Linked DNA regions of Anolis sagrei. The protein of the gene in region 1 interacts with the protein of each later gene in a biochemical or structural test. Links are inferred from orthologs where the notes say so. Each region holds a gene or a part of one and is shown on either strand. Other genes may lie near its edges.

Region 1 (7,449 bases):
CTGAGGATGCTTGCCATAGATGCAGGCGAAACGTCAGGAGAAATGCTTCTAGAACATGGCCCTATAGCCCGAAAAAACCTACAACAACCCATTCACACCTAGTTCCAACAGACAAGAGTCCTTTGTCCCACCCTGGTCATTCCACAGATATATAAACCCATTGTCCTAATTCCAACAGACCTCACTACCTCTGAGGATGCTTGCCATAGATGCAGGCGAAACGTCAGGAGAGAATGCCTCTAGAACATGGCCACAGAGCCCGAAAAAACCTACAACAACCCATTCACACCTAGTTCCAACAGACAAGAGTCCTTTGTCCCACCCTGGTCATTCCACAGATATATAAACCCATTGTCCTAATTCCAACAGACCTCACCACCTCTGAGGATGCTTGCCATAGATGCAGGCGAAACGTCAGGAGAAATGCTTCTAGAACATGGCCCTATAGCCCGAAAAAACCTACAACAACCCATTCACACCTAGTTCCAACAGACAAGAGTCCTTTGTCCCACCCTGGTCATTCCACAGATATATAAACCCATTGTCTTAATTCCAACAGACTTCACCACCTCTGAGGATGCTTGCCATATGTGCAGGCGAAACGTCAGGAGAGAATGCCTCTAGAACATGGCCACAGAGCCCGAAAAAACCTACAACAACCCATTCACACCTAGTTCCAACAGACAAGAGTCCTTTGTCCCACCCTGGTCATTCCACAGATATATAAACCCATTGTCCTAATTCCAACAGACCTCACCACCTCTGAGGATGCTTGCCATAGATGCAGGCGAAACGTCAGGAGAGAATGCCTCTAGAACATGGCCACAGAGCCCGAAAAAACCTACAACAACCCATTCACACCTAGTTCCAACAGACAAGAGTCCTTTGTCCCACCCTGGTCATTCCACAGATATATAAACCCATTGTCCTAATTCCAACAGACCTCACCACCTCTGAGGATGCTTGCCATAGATGCAGGCGAAACGTCAGGAGAAATGCTTCTAGAACATGGCCCTATAGCCCGAAAAAACCTACAACAACCCATTCACACCTAGTTCCAACAGACAAGAGTCCTTTGTCCCACCCTGGTCATTCCACAGATATATAAACCCATTGTCTTAATTCCAACAGACTTCACCACCTCTGAGGATGCTTGCCATATGTGCAGGCGAAACGTCAGGAGAGAATGCCTCTAGAACATGGCCACACAGCCCGAAAAAACCTACAACAACCCATTCACACCTAGTTCCAACAGACAAGAGTCCTTTGTCCCACCCTGGTCATTCCACAGATATATAAACCCATTGTCCTAATTCCAACAGACGTCACCACCTCTGAGGATGCTTGCCATAGATGCAGGCGAAACGTCAGGAGAAATGCTTCTAGAACATGGCCCTATAGCCCGAAAAAACCTACAACAACCCATTCACACCTAGTTCCAACAGACAAGAGTCCTTTGTCCCACCCTGGTCATTCCACAGATATATAAACCCATTGTCCTAATTCCAACAGACCTCACAACCTCTGAGGATGCTTGCCATAGATGCAGGCGAAACGTCAGGAGAAATGCCTCTAGAACATGGCCATATAGCCCGGAAAAACCCACAAGAACCTAGTGATTCCAGCCATGAAAGCCTTCGACAATACAATAGCTGTTAGGCTTTTTGGGAGTTGAAGGCCCAAACATCTGGGGACCCACAGGTTGAGAACCACCGCTCTGGACTAAGTCCACCTGGTTCCACCTGAAAGGGACAGCAACTCACCTCTGGAGATGTCCCCAGTGCCAGGTGGGAGGGCGCTTGATTTTCAGGACCAAACTGGATCTGCAGGTGGGAGGCTCCTGCCCCAGGGTGGGACTGGAAAGCGGGCAAACGGGGTGCCGGGGGGCCCCCCAAGGAGACGCTCCTGTGGAGCCCGTGGGGGCCCCGGATCCTCCTTGCAGGGATTGCAGGAGAGTGATCTTCCTCGTTTGGGAGCTGCAAATGTGAGCAGGTCCGGGGAGAAGTGGGGTCAGGCGGATCCGGGGAGAAGTGGAGCGGGGTGCAGCGCCCTTGGTTTGGGGCGTCTTCCTCGGGCGAGGTCCAGCGCCTCCCCCACAAAGCGCTCTTTGGGCAGAGCGGTCGGACGTCCCGACTTCCGTTGGGTGGGGCGGCGCTGGGGGAGAGCCGGAAGCCATTCAGGATGGTGAGGAGCGACCCCGTGGAGGCCCCCTTGACCTCTCCCTCCGGAGGCAGCGAGGAGGGGGACAGCGGAGGGGTACTGCACGGACTCCGGGGGAAGATGACCAGCGAGGAGCACCGCTGCAAGGGACGCCTGCGCCCTTCCGCTGACGGCAACTTGGACACCCGCCCCACAGAGAGATTGTCCAAGGCCACTCTGGGTGCCCAAGCGGTCGCTCCAGGATCAGACTGACCGCCGGCAAACGTGGCTGCGTCCCCGGTGGAGAAGGCGCAGGTGCTGCCACTCTCGCTGATGACGCTGCTGCTGCCGCCACTGCAGGACCCTCCATCGCTGGTGGTGCTCACGCACGAGCCGCAGTCACTCCCCGCGCTGTCAGCAGCCCCTCTCTCGACGCAATTGACATCTGGGACGTCGATCAGACCGCTGCCGGCTGCTGACCGGTGAAGGGGCCGCCCAGGTCGCTCTCCTTCTCTCCTGGGGAAGTGGTCACCAAAAGGCGCCGGTGGGGAGTCCTCTCTGCCACCTTGGGTGCTCTGCAAGGAGATCCTCAGCAAGGCGCTCCTCTTGGGCTTCTGGGACGGAAGGGGCTCGGGGGCCGCGCAACCCAGGAGGGTTTGGGTACGACTCCACTCCTTCCCGGAAACGCCGCCCGCGTCTGGCTTCCCGTCAAACACACGGCTGGCCTCTTGGCCGAAAGGATCTCGGAGCGCCTCAGGGAACGGGTCAACGAGACTTCTTCGGGGGGCCAAGTGGAGTCTCAGCTGCCTCCTCGCCATGGCTCCGCATCTCCACAAACCTTGGAGAGGTGAGTAGTGAAGGTTGAAAACGGTCGCCGGTAGACTCTGAGGAAACAGACAAAGTTAAGGTGGACCTCCCAGCCCTTCTCCGGCCACGGTCCCCGAGTGGGCTTCTTCGGCGGAGGGCACCCTTGAGAGCGGACTTCTTCCCCGGAAGGCACCTTTGAGAGCGGGCTTCTTCCCCGGAGGGCACCCTTGAGAGAGGGCTTCTTCCCCGGAAGGCACCCTTGAGAGAAGAGCGGGCTGCTTTCCCGGAAGGCTCTCTTGAGAGCGGACTTCTTCCCCGGAAGGCACCCCTGAGAGCGGGCTTCTTTCCCGGAAGGCACCCTTGAGAGTGGGCTTCTTTCCTGGAAGGCACCCTTGAGAGCGGGCTTCTTCCCCGGAAGGCAGTCTTGAGAGCGGGCTTCTTCCCCGGAAGGCTCCCTTGAGAGCGGGCTTCTTCCCCGGAGGGCACCCTTGAAAGCGGGCTTCTTCCCCGGAAGGCTCCCTTGAGAGAAGAGCGGGCTTCTTTCCCGGAAGGCTCTCTTGAGAGCGGACTTCTTCCCCGGAAGGCACCTTTGAGAGCGGGCTTCTTCCCCGGAAGGCACCTTTGAGAGCGGGCTTCTTTCCCGGAAGGCACCCTTGAGAACGGACTTCTTTCCCGGAAGGCACCCTTGAGAGCGGGCTTCTTCTCCGGAGGGCACCCTTGAGAGCGGGCTTCTTTCCCGGAGGGCACCTTTGAGAGCGGGCTTCTTTCCCGGAGGGCACCCTTGAGAGCGGGCTTCTTCTCCGGAGGGCACCCTTGAGAGCGGGCTTCTTTCCCGGAGGGCACCTTTGAGAGCGGGCTTCTTTCCCGGAGGGCACCCTTGAGAGCGGGCTTCTTCTCCGGAGGGCACCCTTGAAAGCGGGCTTCTTCCCCGGAAGGCTCCCTTGAGAGAAGAGCGGGCTTCTTTCCCGGAAGGCTCTCTTGAGAGCGGACTTCTTCCCCGGAAGGCACCTTTGAGAGCGGGCTTCTTCCCCGGAGGGCACCCTTGAGAGAGGGCTTCTTCCCCGGAAGGCACCCTTGAGAGAAGAGCGGGCTGCTTTCCCGGAAGGCTCTCTTGAGAGCGGACTTCTTCCCCGGAAGGCACCCCTGAGAGCGGGCTTCTTTCCCGGAAGGCACCCTTGAGAGTGGGCTTCTTTCCTGGAAGGCACCCTTGAGAGCGGGCTTCTTCCCCGGAAGGCTCCCTTGAGAGCGGGCTTCTTCCCCGGAGGGCACCCTTGAAAGCGGGCTTCTTCCCCGGAAGGCTCCCTTGAGAGAAGAGCGGGCTTCTTTCCCGGAAGGCTCTCTTGAGAGCGGACTTCTTCCCCGGAAGGCACCTTTGAGAGCGGGCTTCTTCCCCGGAAGGCACCTTTGAGAGCGGGCTTCTTTCCCGGAAGGCACCCTTGAGAACGGACTTCTTTCCCGGAAGGCACCCTTGAGAGCGGGCTTCTTCTCCGGAGGGCACCCTTGAGAGCGGGCTTCTTTCCCGGAGGGCACCTTTGAGAGCGGGCTTCTTTCCCGGAGGGCACCCTTGAGAGCGGGCTTCTTCTCCGGAGGGCACCCTTGAGAGCGGGCTTCTTTCCCGGAGGGCACCTTTGAGAGCGGGCTTCTTTCCCGGAGGGCACCCTTGAGAGCGGGCTTCTTCTCCGGAGGGCACCCTTGAAAGCGGGCTTCTTCCCCGGAAGGCTCCCTTGAGAGAAGAGCGGGCTTCTTTCCCGGAAGGCTCTCTTGAGAGCGGACTTCTTCCCCGGAAGGCACCTTTGAGAGCGGGCTTCTTCCCCGGAAGGCACCTTTGAGAGCGGGCTTCTTTCCCGGAAGGCACCCTTGAGAACGGACTTCTTTCCCGGAAGGCACCCTTGAGAGCGGGCTTCTTCTCCGGAGGGCACCCTCGAGAGCGGGCTTCTTTCCCGGAGGGCACCTTTGAGAGCGGGCTTCTTTCCCGGAGGGCACCCTTGAGAGCGGGCTTCTTCTCCGGAGGGCACCCTTGAGAGCGGGCTTCTTCTCCGGAGGGCACCCTTGAAAGCGGGCTTCTTCCCCGGAAGGCTCCCTTGAGAGAAGAGCGGGCTTCTTTCCCGGAAGGCTCTCTTGAGAGCGGACTTCTTCCCCGGAAGGCACCTTTGAGAGCGGGCTTCTTCCCCGGAAGGCACCTTTGAGAGCGGGCTTCTTTCCCGGAAGGCACCCTTGAGAACGGACTTCTTTCCCGGAAGGCACCCTTGAGAGCGGGCTTCTTCTCCGGAGGGCACCCTCGAGAGCGGGCTTCTTTCCCGGAGGGCACCTTTGAGAGCGGGCTTCTTTCCCGGAGGGCACCCTTGAGAGCGGGCTTCTTCTCCGGAGGGCACCCTTGAGAGCGGGCTTCTTCTCCGGAGGGCACCCTTGAAAGCGGGCTTCTTCCCCGGAAGGCTCCCTTGAGAGAAGAGCGGGCTTCTTTCCCGGAAGGCTCTCTTGAGAGCGGACTTCTTCCCCGGAAGGCACCTTTGAGAGCGGGCTTCTTCCCCGGAAGGCACCTTTGAGAGCGGGCTTCTTTCCCGGAAGGCACCCTTGAGAACGGACTTCTTTCCCGGAAGGCACCCTTGAGAGCGGGCTTCTTCTCCGGAGGGCACCCTCGAGAGCGGGCTTCTTTCCCGGAGGGCACCTTTGAGAGCGGGCTTCTTTCCCGGAGGGCACCCTTGAGAGCGGGCTTCTTCTCCGGAGGGCACCCTTGAGAGCGGGCTTCTTCTCCGGAGGGCACCCTTGAAAGCGGGCTTCTTCCCCGGAAGGCTCCCTTGAGAGAAGAGCGGGCTTCTTTCCCGGAAGGCTCTCTTGAGAGCGGACTTCTTCCCCGGAAGGCACCTTTGAGAGCGGGCTTCTTCCCCGGAAGGCACCTTTGAGAGCGGGCTTCTTTCCCGGAAGGCACCCTTGAGAACGGACTTCTTTCCCGGAAGGCACCCTTGAGAGCGGGCTTCTTCTCCGGAGGGCACCCTCGAGAGCGGGCTTCTTTCCCGGAGGGCACCTTTGAGAGCGGGCTTCTTTCCCGGAGGGCACCCTTGAGAGCGGGCTTCTTCTCCGGAGGGCACCCTTGAGAGCGGGCTTCTTTCCCGGAGGGCACCTTTGAGAGCGGGCTTCTTTCCCGGAGGGCACCCTTGAGAGCGGGCTTCTTCTCCGGAGGGCACCCTTGAGAGCGGGCTTCTTCTCCGGAGGGCACCTTTGAGAACGGACTTCTTCTCCGGAAGGCACCCTTGAGAGCGGGCTTCTTCCCCGGAAGGCACCTTTGAGAGCGGGCTTCTTTCCCGGAAGGCACCCTTGAGAGAAGAGCGGGTTTCTTCCCCGGAAGGCACCCAAAGAGAGCGGGCTTCTTTCCCGGAAGGCACCCTTGAGAGCGGGCTTCTTCCCCGGAAGGCACCCTTGAGAGCGGGCTTCTTCCCTGGAAGGCACCCTTGAAAGCCCTCTCGTCTGCACTCAATCCTTTGCCGACTCACTCCAGCGAATTAACTCCAGGCCCGCTCTTCTTCGGAGAGACTCCTCCAGCCGAACGCAGGCTGAGCTTTCTTTAGCTCCGAGCAAACGAACAGAGGAACGAACGGCCGCTCATATTTTTACCCAGCGGTTTAGAGTTACAGGAAGTCAGGAGGAATGGAGTCCCACCTCATTATCAGATCCAAGGCTCAATTTTGAAAGATTAATCGGGTAAGGCTGCGCAAACGAAAGAGCGAGGACCCTCTCGGTCGGTCAGGAGAGCGTTATGAAAGCACTTACTGTGTTCAATTTAAAGAGGGAAAACGCTGCGGGTTTGTTTTGGTTTTTTTTGCAGGGAGGAGGGCAAATGCAACGGATTGCAAGCAAGGGAGACCCCGAAAATAAAAGCCAGAATGTCATGTCATGACCACATTTTGGACAGATTCAATCTCTGGGTCACTTCTGACAGCACCTCAGCATGTGTTGCTTTTCACCTCAAACTACAAGAAAGGAGATTCCATCTGAATATGAGGAAGAACTTCCTGACTGTGAGAGCCGTTCAGCAGTGGAACTCTCTGCCCCGGAGTGTGGTGGAGGCTCCCTCTTTGGAAGCTTTTAAACGGAGTCTGGATGGCCATCTGTCAGGGGTGATTTGAATGCAATATTACTGCTTCTTGGCAGAATGGGGTTGGACTGGATGGCCCAAGGAGGTCTCTGTTGGGGTTCAGCCTGAGTTTGAACTTGAACCTGATTCTCTGTTCCTCCTGTTGCTAATGAAAATATATTTACTGATGCTAATGGAAATGTACCTTTTGATGCCAATGCTCCTGAAATTAGTGAGGAAGAATCTGCTGTAGGTTTGGAAAATGCCAATGTTCCTGAAATTAGTGAGGAAGGGACTTCTGTAGATTTGGGAAATGAAAGTCCCAGTGTTCATGAGAATGTTTCAGAGGGAGACCTTGAACTTTCCCTCCCTTCTGCACCTGTTAACTGTAATGACAACAGGAGGAACCAAATTTGGGAAGACAGAAGTAAATC
Region 2 (7,646 bases), on another chromosome or scaffold:
TTCTCGGGCATTCAATAAATAATTTCAACCTACTGTCTTTAAGTCTTAGTCTTTGCTTTAAGGAAACTGTTACTTTGAGATATGGATTTGGCAGTAGTTTGCTTTCCAAAATAACGACGTATGTTTTATCCGTTCTTATAGATCATAACAGGTGGCCACCTGCTCCAGATGGAGAGAACTGGAAATCACTGAAAAGGATGTTTTCAGGAAAATCTCAATCAAAACTATAAATCAATAACTTGGGGTTAGTCCCTTGCCATTCTTGTCAACAATGAATTGCCTTTCTGCAATAGATTTTAACTTTTCATAATGAACTCTGCCTTATAGAGATACAAACCCTGTACATTTGTTTTTATAACAGATGTACTATAGTTTTTATAATAAATGCCTTGTGCAAATTCTGTCTAAGGACAGTTGTCCAAAAATCACCATTTATTAACATGTGCTGTTACTGTCTTGGATCTCGTTAACAAAAATATGCTCCTCATGACTTTTCTGTTTGCAATTTAAACTCTTCCTGCTTTAATGACAGTTCTTTAGAATATGTTCTAATAACAAGGAATTCAGGAGAACAAGGCCAAAGGTCTATAGTCTGTTATCTTGTGCTCTCTGACTGCTTTGCACTGATTACTCCAATGCATGCCTGAACTCTTAAAGTTGAAAGATGTTAATGTGCAATAAACTGATTACTTAAATCTGTGTTCAAATTTGTTTTAAATGAGAAGGTCTCTCAGGAAGCCTGTAGACATTGTCTGTGCCATACTGAGCCTTGTTGGCTTGGGGTGATCTTAGTTGTAGCCCACAATTTCTGCAGATTGCTAAATCAATGAACTCTTATTTTTCAATTTGCGATAAGGAGAAATGCCTCTATCTTTATCCATGAAGGCAATTGTGACTATGTTTCCTTGTGTCATATAATTTTATGAGATGAGAGTTTATTTCTCAGTGTTGACCAAGAAAGGTAATGTTCAGTTTAATAAGTTTACAAGTTGCATTGGTTTCGTACCAATGATTTAGGGGAAGAAAACTTTCCTGAAATTTGCAAAAAAGGAGGAAATATAGCAATTGGATATGATGAGTGGGGCTAAATGCAAGGCACTTTTAAAGGAAAAATGCTTCAGATTGAAAGGCAGTAGGAAGAAGACTCTGGGGCGCAGCTATGGTGTATAATTGATCCAGTTTGACACTACTTACACTCCTATAGCTCAATGCTATGGAATCATTGAAGGTTTAGCTTTACAAGGTCTTTGACTTCTGTTAAAGGATACTGGTGCCCTACCAAACTACAAGTTCCAGGATTTCATAGCACTGAGCTATGACAATTAAAGTGGCTTCAAACTGTATTAATCCTGCAATATAGATGCATACCTAGATGTTACAAGTGTACTATTAAGCTTCTGACAAAGTCCAACTGGTCAGGAGTATCTTTAAAGGTATTGCCAAAAGGTTATGTTACCAGTAAGTCTTTCCAAAATTTCCTGCCATGTAATGCAATGGTCCAAAGTCTGTAATACATTGAAAACATTTTAAACAGACCTGTTTAAATTTCACAACAAATAGAAGTTGTAAAATTCGATAGAGGTTGAGCATCCCTTGTTTGGAAATCCAAAGTATTCCAAAATTATCAACATATGTAGCTGAGAGTGACTACTTTGCTTTCTGATGTAGAAAACATTGCTTCATGCACATTATTTAAAAAAAAATACTGTACACAAAATTACCTTCAGGCTATGTGCATAAGGTATATATGAAACACCAATTTCCTGTTTAGACATGTTCCATCTCCAAGATTTCTCATTATGTACATTTATGTAAAGGTAGGTATCTAAAAAATCTGGGGGGGGGGGGGGGAATCCAACACAGTTCTGGTCCCAAGTATTTTTGATAAGAGCAATTCAACCTATATCTGTTTTGCAGCAATGTATTGTTATTTATTCGTTCAGTCACTTCTGATTCTTCGTGACCTCATGGACCAGCCCATGCCAGAGCTCCCTGTCGGCCGTCACCTCCCCCAGCTCCTTCAGAGTCAAGCCAGTCACTTCAATGATACCATCCATCCATCTTGCTCTTGGTCGGCCCCTCTTCCCTTTTCCTTCCATTTTCCCCAGTATCATTGTCTTCCCCAAGCTTTCCTGCCTTCTCATTATGTGGCCAAAGTACTTCATCTTTGCCTCTACTATCCTTCCCTCCAGTGAGCAGTTGGGCTAAATATGGACTGGCTTGATCTTCTCGTGGTCCAAGGCACTCTCATAATTTTCCTCCAACACCACAATTCAAAAGCATCTATCTTCCTTTGCTCAGTCTTCCTTATGGTCCAGCTCTCACATCCGTAGGTGACTGTGGGGAATACCATTGCTTTAACTATGCAGATCTTCGTTGCCAGTGTAATGTCTCTACGCTTCACTATTTTATCGAGATTGGACATTGCTCTCCTCCCAAGAAGTAAACTTCTTCTGATTTCCTGGCTGCAGGCTGCGTCTGCAGTAATCTTTGCACCTAGAAATACAAAGTTTGTCACAGTCTCCACGTTTTCTCCCTCTATTTCCCAGTTATCAGTCAGTCCGGTTGCCATAATCTTGGTTTTTTTTAAATATTTAACTGCAACCCAGCTTATGCACTTTCTTCTTTCACCTTGATTAGAAGGCTCCTCAGCTCCTCCTCGCTTTCGGCCATCAAAGTGGTATCATCTGCATATCTAAACAATGTATTATACTGCAAAAGTGGTTACTTTAAGCTGTCAGTGGAATCCTTATTAATAAAAACTAAATAACCAAACTGACTACCATCAAGTATATTTAATACATACTTTTAGGTTACTACTCTGGGCACATCTACACTGTAGAATTATTGTATTCCAGTTTGGCACCACTTGCCTCACTGCTATGGAATCATGGGATTTGTAGTTTGTTGGCAGAAAAAACATTGTAAAACTATAGCTGTCAGGATTCTGTAACATCGAGCCATGGCAATTAAAGTGGTGCCAAACTAAATTCATTCCACAGTGAAGATAAATCCTGAATCTACTTCCCTTTCCAATGCCTGACATGAAAAGTAAACAGTGACGATGCTGCGCATGCGCCCACATTCATCCGTGTAGAAAGCGGAGAGGCTACAGAAGCTGCGCATGCGCCTGGCTCGTCCGTGGCTACAAGTGGAGCGGCTATTTCCATGAGTAGCGTCGCTCACACAACGCGGAAGAACGCCACTGGCAGATAGAGCTAGGAAACTATGAGAAAGATGCATGGCTGAAAGTCGCGATATTCCAGGTTCGCGCACCATTTAAAAATAATACCAAGGAAAGGAAGTAAGAGGCGCCAATAGAAATAGGCCAAGGGCTGCAGAGACAGTTGAGCTTCTGATCTTTAATACAAGCAGAGCGAGTAAGAAAAGAGGAAGAAAGAGGTAATACAAGATAAAAGTATACAAATAACATTATTAAACAAATTATCCAGATAGTCCACAACACACACATATAATGCAACCCAATCAATATCTGAATCTACATGAACAGGAATCTACAGGTACGAGAACATAAACGAGATCCTGAGTTTTGTAGTTTTGTGGCCCTGGGCCTCCCTTAATCTACAAGCCCCAGAATTCTAAAGTCACAGCATTTAAAGTGGATTGAAGTGGGAAAATGCTCAAGTGTGATGAGGCATCTGCACTGTCGAATTAATCCGCTTCGACACCACTTTATCTGCCATGGCTCAATGTATTTTGCTCAGGCTCCAGCACTCTTGGGCAGGGAAGGTTGAAGACTCGTAAAACTATGATTCCACAGTATTCAGCCGTGGCAGTGAAAAGGGTTTTCTTCCCTGACATTAAGTCTAGCCATGTCCGACTCTGAGGGTTGAAACTCATCACTATTTCTAAGCCGAAGAGCTGGTGTTGTCCGTAGACACCTCCAAGTTCATGCGGCCGGCATGACTGCATGGAGGGCCGTCACCTTCCCGCAGAAGTGGTATCTATTGATCTACTCACATTTCGAACTGCTTGATTAGCAGAAGCTGGAGCTAACAGCGGGAGCTTACCCCGCTCCTCGGATTCGAACCTGCGACTTTTCGGTTAGCACGTTCAGCAGCTCCGCGGTTTCATAGAATCATAAAGTTGGAAGAGCTCTCCAGGGCCATCCGGTCCAACCCCCTGCCTAGAAGCAGGAAAATTGTATTCAAAGCACTCCCGACAGATGGCCATCCAGCTTTTAACCCACTGCGCTACCGGGGGCTCCATTCGAGGGTGGAAGCACCCTAAAATTCCCAAACGTCTGGAAAACATGAGGACATCTCACATCGCCATATGTGCGAAAACCATTTTAAAAAAACCTCGGAACTACAAAGGATGTAATCCTATCACACAGTTACACTCAGAGGATTCCTGGGCTTTGTAGTTTTGCTAGCCAGGGATTCCAATACTTAGCTAGCGTCGGGACGCTTTTAGAAAACTACCCATCCCATAATTCCAAGGGAAATCCCCGCGGCGATGACACTTTTTCTCCTTGCGAAGTAAATACGTAACGACGTCGACGTGCTCTACGTCAGGGGTTCTGCGTAAGGGGAAGGAGGCGGAGTTAGAGAGAGAGCGCTTGAGGAGGAAAAATAGAACAGGGGGAGGGAAAAAGCTGGGGCCGGAGAGGTGACGGCGGCCCGCAGGGTTCAAGAAGGAAAGAGGGACGGAGTGGGGCCTTCCGCGAACTCTTCGTAGTGCCCCCCTCCCCGTGGAAAGGCGCGAGGCTCAGGCGGTGAACGGCAACGACAAGGCCGCCATTCTCTTCCCCCCCTTCCTCGTCCACCCTTCTCCCTTCTCGCCTCTCTTTCCGTGTTGTTCTCTGCTTATTGGGACGGGGCTGCCAGCTCGCCTTCCTTCTCTCATTCCTCCCTCCCTCCCCTTTGCCTGTTTCCTGGGACAAGCCGGGGACCTGGACCCTTCCAGTGTGGAGGCCCTGGAGGCCTTGGGGGAGTTTGCCCGCCTCCTCCTCCTCCTCACAGGTACGAAGCGTGCGTGTGTTTTGATTTCTGGGATCCTTGTGTGTGTATATATTTGGGAGGGTGTTGCCTCTAAGGCAAATCTATTTACTTATGGTATTTTGGTCTGACATTTTTAAAATGTGTGTGTGTGTGTGTGTGTCCATACAACATGCATGTATGTATGTGCATTGCACACATATCTGTGCACATACAGGTTGTCCTGGCTATTTCCAGTCACATTTCAAAGATGGAAACTGGGACATCTGTGGCCAAGCACCATCAGAAAATGGTCAAGATGCCAACACACCAAGCCAGGAGAAGCAGTTTGATTTTTCCTGTGTCTCCAGAGAAGGGCATGATCCCCCGTTCTCTCCTCTCCTTCCTGCTGGTTTTACCTGAGTGCAAATACTTTTGCACTTGGATCTCAAGTGTGTATATCAGGGGTCCACAAACATTTTAAACAGAGGGCCAGATCACAGTCCCTCAAACTGTTGGAGGGCCGGATTATAATTTGAAAAAAATGAATGAATTCCTATGCACACTGCATATATCTTATTAGTAGTGCAAAAACACTTAAAATACATTAATTAAAATGAAGAACAATTTTAACAAATATAAAATTATTCATATTTCAATGGGAAGTGTGGGCCTGCTTTTGGCTGATGAGATAGGGTTGTTGTTGTTGTTGTTGTTGTTGTTGTGTGCTTTCAAGTTGTTTAAGACTTAGGTTGACCCTGAGCGAGGGCCAGGTAAATGAGCTTGGAGGGCTGTATCTGGCCCCCGGGCCTTACTTTGAGGACCCCTGGTGTATATTGTACATTAATAGCAGATGAGTTTAGAAAGTAACTGGAGATATTCATGGACAAGCAGTGACTGTGGCTGCTAGCTATGTTTGTTTCCTCCTTTAACAGAGCAGAATAATAATAATAATAATAATAATAAACTTTATTTATATCCTGCCACCATCTCCTCTAGGGGACTTGGGATGGCTTACAAAGGGAAAGGGTAGCTCAATATACAAAATATTTACAACATATTCTCGATGTGTTTTGGGGGGTACGGGGAGGGATAACAAAAGTAATAATACCCAGAATGATATGTTATATATGTTAAGGATGCATGTATATGTATGGAGATTTTAGGCCCCTTCCACACAGCTGTATAAAATCACACCCAACTGGATTATATGGCAGTGTGGATTCAGATAACCCAGCTCAAAGCACATATCTACCTTGATATTCTGGGTTGTATGGCTGTGTGGAAGGGCTCTGAGCATCTCTCAGGAGTGCTTTAGTTGTGTGTGGCTGAGTAACGGGATGCTGGACTCTATGGCCCTTGCAGTCCCTTCCCACCCATTGCTTCTGTGCATTGCCTTTGAGGAGTTCACACACATAAATACACATGAATACACATGTATACACAAACATATGCATACATCCTTGACAGCATATAATTCTGGGCATTATTACTTTTGGTATTCCTCCTTCAAATGTGTGTGTGTATAAAGGGTGTCCCAAAAGTCTTTAGACGTATGAAAAATTAACAGACATATTATATTTTATCTATATTACACATGCATTTAAATTTATTCTTGCAAATATATAGTACGCAGACAATGTTTTTACTTTTTATATTTATTTTTTTAATTTTTTTAATTAAGTATTATTAGACAATTTATAAAAAAATATTTCCCCTATATGACTTACATCGCTATATATAGGCAATCCCCAAGTTATGAGCAAGAGCGGTTTTGTAGGTTTGTTCTTAAGTTGAATTTGTATGTAAGTTGGAACAGGCACATTTTAAAAATGTAGCTTACAGACATGCATGCATGCTTTGGATAGCACGGGGAAGGGTTACCACTCCTGTGGTGTTTGTTTTGTTATCTGTGCCCCTGCTCAGAAGATTGCATCTAACTTTCAGCCCCTATGATAATTGGACTTTGAAAAAAATTCTTGTTGTGGAAACAAGGATTGGTGAGAAAGCTTCAGTTGAGACACCACAATAATTCTCCAGGAATGAATTTTATTTCTGAGGGATAGATTTCTCTCATTTCCTGTTGTCTCATCCCTGTTCTTAACCATGAATCGTTTGTAAATAAAATGTTTGTAACTTGGGGACTGCCTGTAAATTGATTTAAACTAACTTCTGCAACCTGCACCATTGAAAAACAACTGAAATGATTAAACTAAAACATTGAAATGTACTATCCATCTCCCATTTCAAAGACACACAATGAATATATTATGAACCAGCTCATCTTATAATTTTAGACCGTTTCTTCATTCTATCTTACTATGACATGTAAAGAACATTTTGTAAAATTTTGTAATGAGTATTTTGTAAATAAAAATGTATTGAGCTACAATTTCCCATATGCCCTATGTATGTTGACCTTTGTGTGTGTACGTATATGTATATATGTATCCTTAACAACATATAATTCTGGATGTTATTACTTTGGGTATGCCCCCCCCCCAAAAAAAAATAAGTATGCACTCTTGACAGGATTAAGTATGGCAAAATGGCAAGAAGAACTTCGTGAAGTTTGTAACTCTTGTGCTTTGATAAGCGGGCAGTACATGGTTGCAAAGGGATGACACCTTGCGCCTGCAATTTAAGATGGAATTTGTAACCCTGATTGTGAGAACATTTATGATGATGATGATAACATTTACTCCT
Region 3 (7,094 bases), on another chromosome or scaffold:
TTGCTCCCTCCTCCTCCCTGTGGCTTCCTCTCACATATTTATACATAGCTATCATCATATCTCCTCTCAGCCTTCTCTTCTTCAGGCTAAACATGCCCAGCTCCTTAAGCCGCTCCTCATAGGGCTTGTTCTCCAGACCCCTGATCATTTTAGTCGCCCTCCTCTGGACACATTCCAGCTTGTCAATATCTCTCTTGAATTGTGGTGCCCAGAATTGGACACAGTATTCCAGGTGTGGTCTAACCAAGGCGGAATAGAGCATGGGGAGCATGACTTCCCTAGATCTAGACACTATGCTCCTCTTGATGAGTACAGCTGAACCTGTACTGTAGACTTAATGCAGTTTGACGCCACTTAATGCAGTTTGACGCCACTTGGACTTCCGTGGCTCAATGCAATGGCATCCTGGGAGTTGTAGTTTGGCATTATTTGGCAAAAAAAAAAAAACCCTCGACAAACTGCAACTCCTAGGATCCCATTGTAGCCCTTGTAGTTCAAGTGGGGTCAAACTGCATTAATTCTACAATGCAGACGTCCCTCTGCTTCTCTAAAATCTATCTCCTGTGTGAACCTTATGTGCCTGTGATGTAACAACAACTCCCATTGGCCAAAATGGGAGCAGAACGATGGGTGTTGCAGTCCATTTGCCCTTAGAGAGTGGCAAGATTCCTCCCAAGGAGGGCCTTATTTGGGGGGGGGGGGGGGAATACCACGCTTTGCAGCTTTGGTCGTCTTTCAAATTAATTTTTATTCCATTTTCACAACAAAGCAGAAATATAAAGGAAACAACAAACACGGAACTAAGAAGCAAAGCAAAGGATGCAGTATGAAAAAAAAATCACTCCATAATATTCCAACAAACACTTAACAACTAGCTTCTATCCCTCCCCCTTTGTAACATAAAATAGTAAACAAAATTAACTTACATTGGTCCTCCCTAAGCAAAGGCCACCAACTTATTACATATACTTCTTGTTCTACGAAATTGCATTTCGGCTTCTGCTAAATATAAACCAACCTATTGCAACATTATTATGATTTAGCATGAATTTAACATTCATGTCAACCCCATTTATCCATTTTGTCTTCTAAATTCATATTTAACTCATCACCTTCGTAGTATCCTTATTCCCTCTGAATTTAAATTAATCTTACTGTATTTCAACAATTTATTTCTAAATACTTCCTTGTTTTTCAAACGTCTTCTTTCACCAATCCATTGTACATTCACCAATATAATAATAATAATAATAATAATAATAATAATATAATATATAATAAAACTTTATTTTTGGACTGCCCTCTCTCCCTGAGTACAAACATATCAAAATAATACACAATGAAGCAACAGTAATAAAATAATAAAACATATATATCATATGTATAACTTACATAGGTTGTTATATATATATATATATATATACACACACACACACACACACATATATATATACACACTTACTAGCCGTCCCCTGCCAGGTGTTGCTGTGGCCCACATGGGGTTTCTGTGTGGGAGGTTTGGCCCAATTCTATATTATATATTGGTGGATGTATATATACACACACTATTCTATATTATAGGTGGATGCACCTATATATATATATATATACACACACACACACACAATTCTGTATTGGTGGATGTATATATAAACACTATTATAGGTGGATGCACCTAGATATATACACACACACACACACTCTATATATTATATTTTGGTGGATGTATATATCACACTATTCTTCATTATAGGTGGATGCACCAATATATATACACACACACAATTCTATATTGGTGAATGTATATATATACACACTATTCTATATTATAGGTGGATGCACCTATATATATACACACACACAATTCTATATTATATATTGGTGGATGTATATATACACTATTCTATATTATAGGTGGATGCACACATATATATACACACACCCACAATTCTATATTACATATTGGTGAATGCATATATACACACTATTCTATATTATAGGTGGATGCACATATATATATATACACACACACACAATTCTATATTATATTTTGGTGGATGTATATATACACTATTCTTTATTATAGGTGGGTGCACCTATACACACACACACACACACAAAATCTATATTATATATTGGTGGATGTATATATACAACACTACTCTATATTATAGGTGGATGCACCTATATATATATATACACACACACACATACACAATTCTATATTATATATTGGTGGATGTATATATATACACTAGTAATCTATATTATAGGTGGATGGACCTATACACACACACACACACACTATTCTAGATTATATATTGGTGGATGTATATATACCCTATTCTATATTATAGGTGGATGCACCTATATATACACAACAACACAATTCTGTATTACATATTGGTGAATGCATATATACACACTATTCTATATTATAGGTGGATGCACCTATATATATACACACAATATATACACACCCAATTCTATATTATATATTTGTGGGTGTATATATACACACTATTCAATATTATAGGTGGGTGCACCTATACACACACACACACAAAATCTATATTATATATTGGTGGATGTATATATACAACACTATTCTATATTATAGGTGGATGCATATATACACACACACACAATTCTATATTATATATTGATGGATGTATATATATATATACACTATTCTATATTATAGGTGGATGCACCTATATATACACACACACACACTATTCTATATTATATATTGGAGGATGTATATATATACACACTATTCTATATTATAGGTGGATGCACCTATATATATATACATACACACTATTCTATATTATATATTGGAGGATGTATATATATACACACACACTGTATATATATACACACACACTATAGTGTATATATACACTATTCTATACTATAGGTGGATGCACTTATACATATATACACACACACACACAATTCTATATTGTATATTCGTAGATGTATATATACACTAACACACACACAATTCTATATATATTGGTGGATGTATATATACAAACTATTCTATATTATAGGTGGATGCACCTATATATATACACACACACACACAGAATTATATATATATATATATATATATATATATATATATATATATATATATATATATATATATATAAATATTGGTAGATGTATATATACATTATTCTATATTATAGGTGGATGTGTATATATATACACACACACACAATTCTATATTATTATATATTATAGGTTAATGTAATATTTATATATATACACACACACACACACACACATATATATATATATAATATCTATATCAACCAATAATCCTCAATTCCTTTGATCCCAGTCCAGTCTCAATAGTGACAATGATGGGAGTTCAAGGCTAGAAGAAGCTTTTCTTTCTGCGCCTGCGCGAAGCAATGAGGGAAACCCCACCCCTATTCCTTGGCCACGCCCCTTCACGTCACCAGCCCCTCCCTCCCGCCGGGACTACTTCGCGGGGGTGTGAGTGCACGTGACAATTCCTCTCCGCTGACGTCAGCCACATGACAGGACGCTTTACCTCACCTCGCCTCGGACCCGGATCCTTCCGCGTTTCAGTTCCTCCTTTGCTTTTGCTTTTTTTTAAATCCGATACCGGTATAAAGATGTCGGTTTAAAATCAGATAACGGTATAAAGATGTCTGTCCCTTTAAAATCCGGAGCGGCGGAAGGAGAAGCGGAGAAAAGCTTTCGGGACTACTTTGTTTTGGTGCGTGACGTCACTCTCGGCGGAAGGCCACTAGGGGAGGAGTTCGACGGTCCAGTCATAACCAGCTGCGCGAAGTGCTGAATTCTCAAACGCAACTTACGCTACTGACGAAGGGGCGCCCTGAGGGAGCGCTACGCCGTTTCCGTAGCGGAGAAAAACGAGTCCCCTCGCTCTGGGCGTATCCCTCCGCGGCTCGGCGGGCGAAGGCGGGGAGGAGGCCGGACTGCGCGTGCGCGGTGGCGTCTGTTGTGGAGAGCGGGCCGCGTCTCCTCCTCCTTCTCCTGTGTCCCCCTCCGCCGGCCTCGCCCGTCAGCCTCGTCGCCTCAGCCTCCGCCGCCGCCATGAAGTTCGTCTACAAGGAGGAGCACCCCTTCGAGAAGCGCCGCTCTGAGGGGGAGAAGATCCGCAAGAAGTACCCGGACCGAGTCCCGGTGAGGAGAGACAATCATAGCAGGGATTGGAGGGGAAAAATAGGCCCTTCCTTCCCTTCCCTTCCCTTCCTTGTTGGGCGCCTCAGGCCTAGGCCTCAGCCCAGCCTCCCTGTATTACTACCACTATTATCATATATAGAACAATAATAACCATGTAGAGTAGGCATGGGCGAGCTTGGGCCCTCCAGGTGTTTTGGACTACAACTCCCACAATTCCTAGCAGCCTCAGGCCCCTTCTTTTTCCCCTTCAGCCGCTAAAGCGGCTGAAGGGGAAAAAGAAGGGGCCTGAGGCTGCTAGGAATTGTGGGAGTTGTAGTCCAAAACACCTGGAGGGCCCAAGTCCGCCCATGCCTGATTATAGAGTATAGAAATGGCATGATAATAGTAATAATAATAATAATAATAATAATAATACTGTTATTGATGTCTATGTTTACTTCTATTTCAATCCTTACATATTGTGGATTTTAATGCTCTGAGCCACTTTGCAGAATATGATAATGATACGAATACTGTTGTGTGTATATATAATAAAATATAAGAATATAATAATGATAATGCTGATATATATATTTTGGATTTTAATGCTGAGATGACAGGGATAAAAACAATATAATAATAATGATAATGCTGATATATGTATATATTGTGGATTTTAATGCTGAGTCGATAGGGATAAAAACAATATAGTAATAATGATAATGCTGATATATGTATTGTGGATTTTAATGCCGGGTTGATAGGAATAAAACAATATAATAATGATAATGCTGATATATATGTATTAGATTTTAATGCTCTGAGCCACTTTGCAGAATATGATAATGATACGAATACTGGTGTGTATATATAATAAAATATAAGAATATAATAATGATAATGCTGATATATATATTTTGGATTTTAATGCTGAGATGATAGGGATAAAAACAATATAATAACAATAATGATAATGCTGATATATATATATTGTGGATTTTAATGCTCTGAGCCACTTTGCAGAATATGATAATGATACGAATACTGGTGTGTATATATAATAAAATATAAGAATATAATAATGATAATGCTGATATATATATATATATATATATATATATATATATTGGATTTTAATGCTGAGATGATAGGGATAAAAACAATATAATAATAATGATAATGCTGATATATGTATATATTGTGGATTTTAATGCTGAGTTGATAGGGATAAAAACAATATAATAATAATGGTGATATATATATATTGTGGGTCTATAGGAATAAAAACCATATTATAATGATAATGATAATGGTGATATATATATATTGTGGGTCAATAGGGATATCTACCCTATCATAATAATGATGATAATGCTGATATGTTTTTATTGCAGATTTTAATGCTGAGCCGATAGGGATGAAAGTGGATAATAATAATAATAATAATAATAATAATAATAATAATAATGTTGATATGTTTATATTGCGGATTTTAATGCTGAGTCGACAGGGATAAAAACAGAATATAATAACGATAATACTGATATATAATAATAATGATAATGCTGATATGTTTTTATTGCAGATTTTAATGCTGAGTCGATAGGGATGAAAGCGGATAATGATAAGAATAATAATGTTGATATGTTTATATTGTGGATTTTAATGCTGAGTCGATAGGGATAAAAACAGAATATAATAATAATGGGTTGTTGTAGGTTTTTTCGGGCTATATGGCCATGTTCTAGAGGCATTTTCTCCTGACGTTTCGCCTGCATCTATGGCAGCCATCCCCAGAGGTAGTGAGGTCTGTTGGAACTAGGAAAATTGTTTATATATCCGTGGAATGACCAGGGTGGGACAAAGGACTCTTGTCTGTTTTAATACCAGTATTAAAAAAAACTCTAAAATTACAACAGCAAAACAACAGAGAGGAAACAATCAGGCACATCTAATCACCTCTCAACAAAAGATTGCCCCAGGCACCAACAAGCCACACCAAACAACTGCCAGGCCATCAAATGCTAATCAAGGTGGTCAGTTGAAACATTCACACCTAGCTCCAACAGACAAGATAATGCTGATATGTTTATACAGTATTGCAGATTTTAACACTGAGTCAATAGGGATAAAAGCAGAATATGATATGATAATGCTGGTATGTATATATTGTGGATTTTAATGCTCAGTCGATAGGGATAAAAACAATATAGTAATAATGCTGATATGTTTATATTGTGGATTTTAATGCTGAGTCAACAGGTATAAAATCAGAATATAATAATAGTGATAATAATGCTGATATATAGGTTTACTTCCATTTTAATCTATATAAATAAAAACATAATGTCCACTTATGGGATTAACATAACTCAACAACCACTGGATAAATTGACACCAAATTTGGACACAAGACACCTATCATGCCAACAAGTGACTCATAAAAACACTGAAAAACACAGCACAAAAGACTTTAAAAGCCAAAAACCAAAAAATACAGTACAATGCATGCGTAAAACCACATATATACACAAACACACATATACGTATATACACACACAAAGACGTGTACACAGACTGGGCCACAGCAACATTGTCAGGGGATGGCTACTATGTATATATTGCAGATTTTAACAATGAGTCAATAGGGATAAAAGCAGAATATAATAATAGTAATAATGATAATAATGCTGATGTATATGTTTACTTCCATTTTAAAATGTATATATTGTGGATTTTATTGCTGAGCTGATAGGGATAAAGCAGAATATAATAATAATGATAATTTAAAAATGCTGATATGTATAGCTTGTGTATTGTAATGCTAGATCGATAGTGATAAAAGCAGAAATAATAATGACAATAATAATGCTGATATATATGGCGGATTTTAATGCTCAGTCGTTAGGGATAAAAGTAGAATA

The links.
Region 2: the proteins of NEDD4 (region 1) and MAP3K2 form a complex in vitro, tested with the Homo sapiens proteins (2 studies listed by BioGRID and IntAct, with this or other methods). The link is inferred for Anolis sagrei from reciprocal best matches to the Homo sapiens genes NEDD4 and MAP3K2.
Region 3: the proteins of NEDD4 (region 1) and GABARAP form a complex in vitro, tested with the Homo sapiens proteins (2 studies listed by BioGRID and IntAct). The link is inferred for Anolis sagrei from reciprocal best matches to the Homo sapiens genes NEDD4 and GABARAP.

The regions. Positions count from the first base shown.
Region 1 is NC_090029.1:1,440,629-1,448,077, reverse strand, and holds the start of NEDD4 (E3 ubiquitin-protein ligase NEDD4), read right to left. Parts: upstream 3,027-7,449; 5' UTR 2,958-3,026; coding exon 1,764-2,957; intron 1-1,763. UniProt on the Homo sapiens protein: E3 ubiquitin-protein ligase which accepts ubiquitin from an E2 ubiquitin-conjugating enzyme in the form of a thioester and then directly transfers the ubiquitin to targeted substrates. Specifically ubiquitinates 'Lys-63' in target proteins.
Region 2 is NC_090021.1:226,540,967-226,548,612, reverse strand, and holds the start of MAP3K2 (mitogen-activated protein kinase kinase kinase 2), read left to right. Parts: upstream 1-4,546; 5' UTR 4,547-4,985; intron 4,986-7,646. Other genes in the region: PECR (peroxisomal trans-2-enoyl-CoA reductase), read left to right, coding at 142-230. UniProt on the Homo sapiens protein: Component of a protein kinase signal transduction cascade. Regulates the JNK and ERK5 pathways by phosphorylating and activating MAP2K5 and MAP2K7. Plays a role in caveolae kiss-and-run dynamics.
Region 3 is NC_090026.1:4,431,445-4,438,538, reverse strand, and holds the start of GABARAP (gamma-aminobutyric acid receptor-associated protein), read left to right. Parts: upstream 1-3,994; 5' UTR 3,995-4,101; coding exon 4,102-4,191; intron 4,192-7,094. UniProt on the Homo sapiens protein: Ubiquitin-like modifier that plays a role in intracellular transport of GABA(A) receptors and its interaction with the cytoskeleton.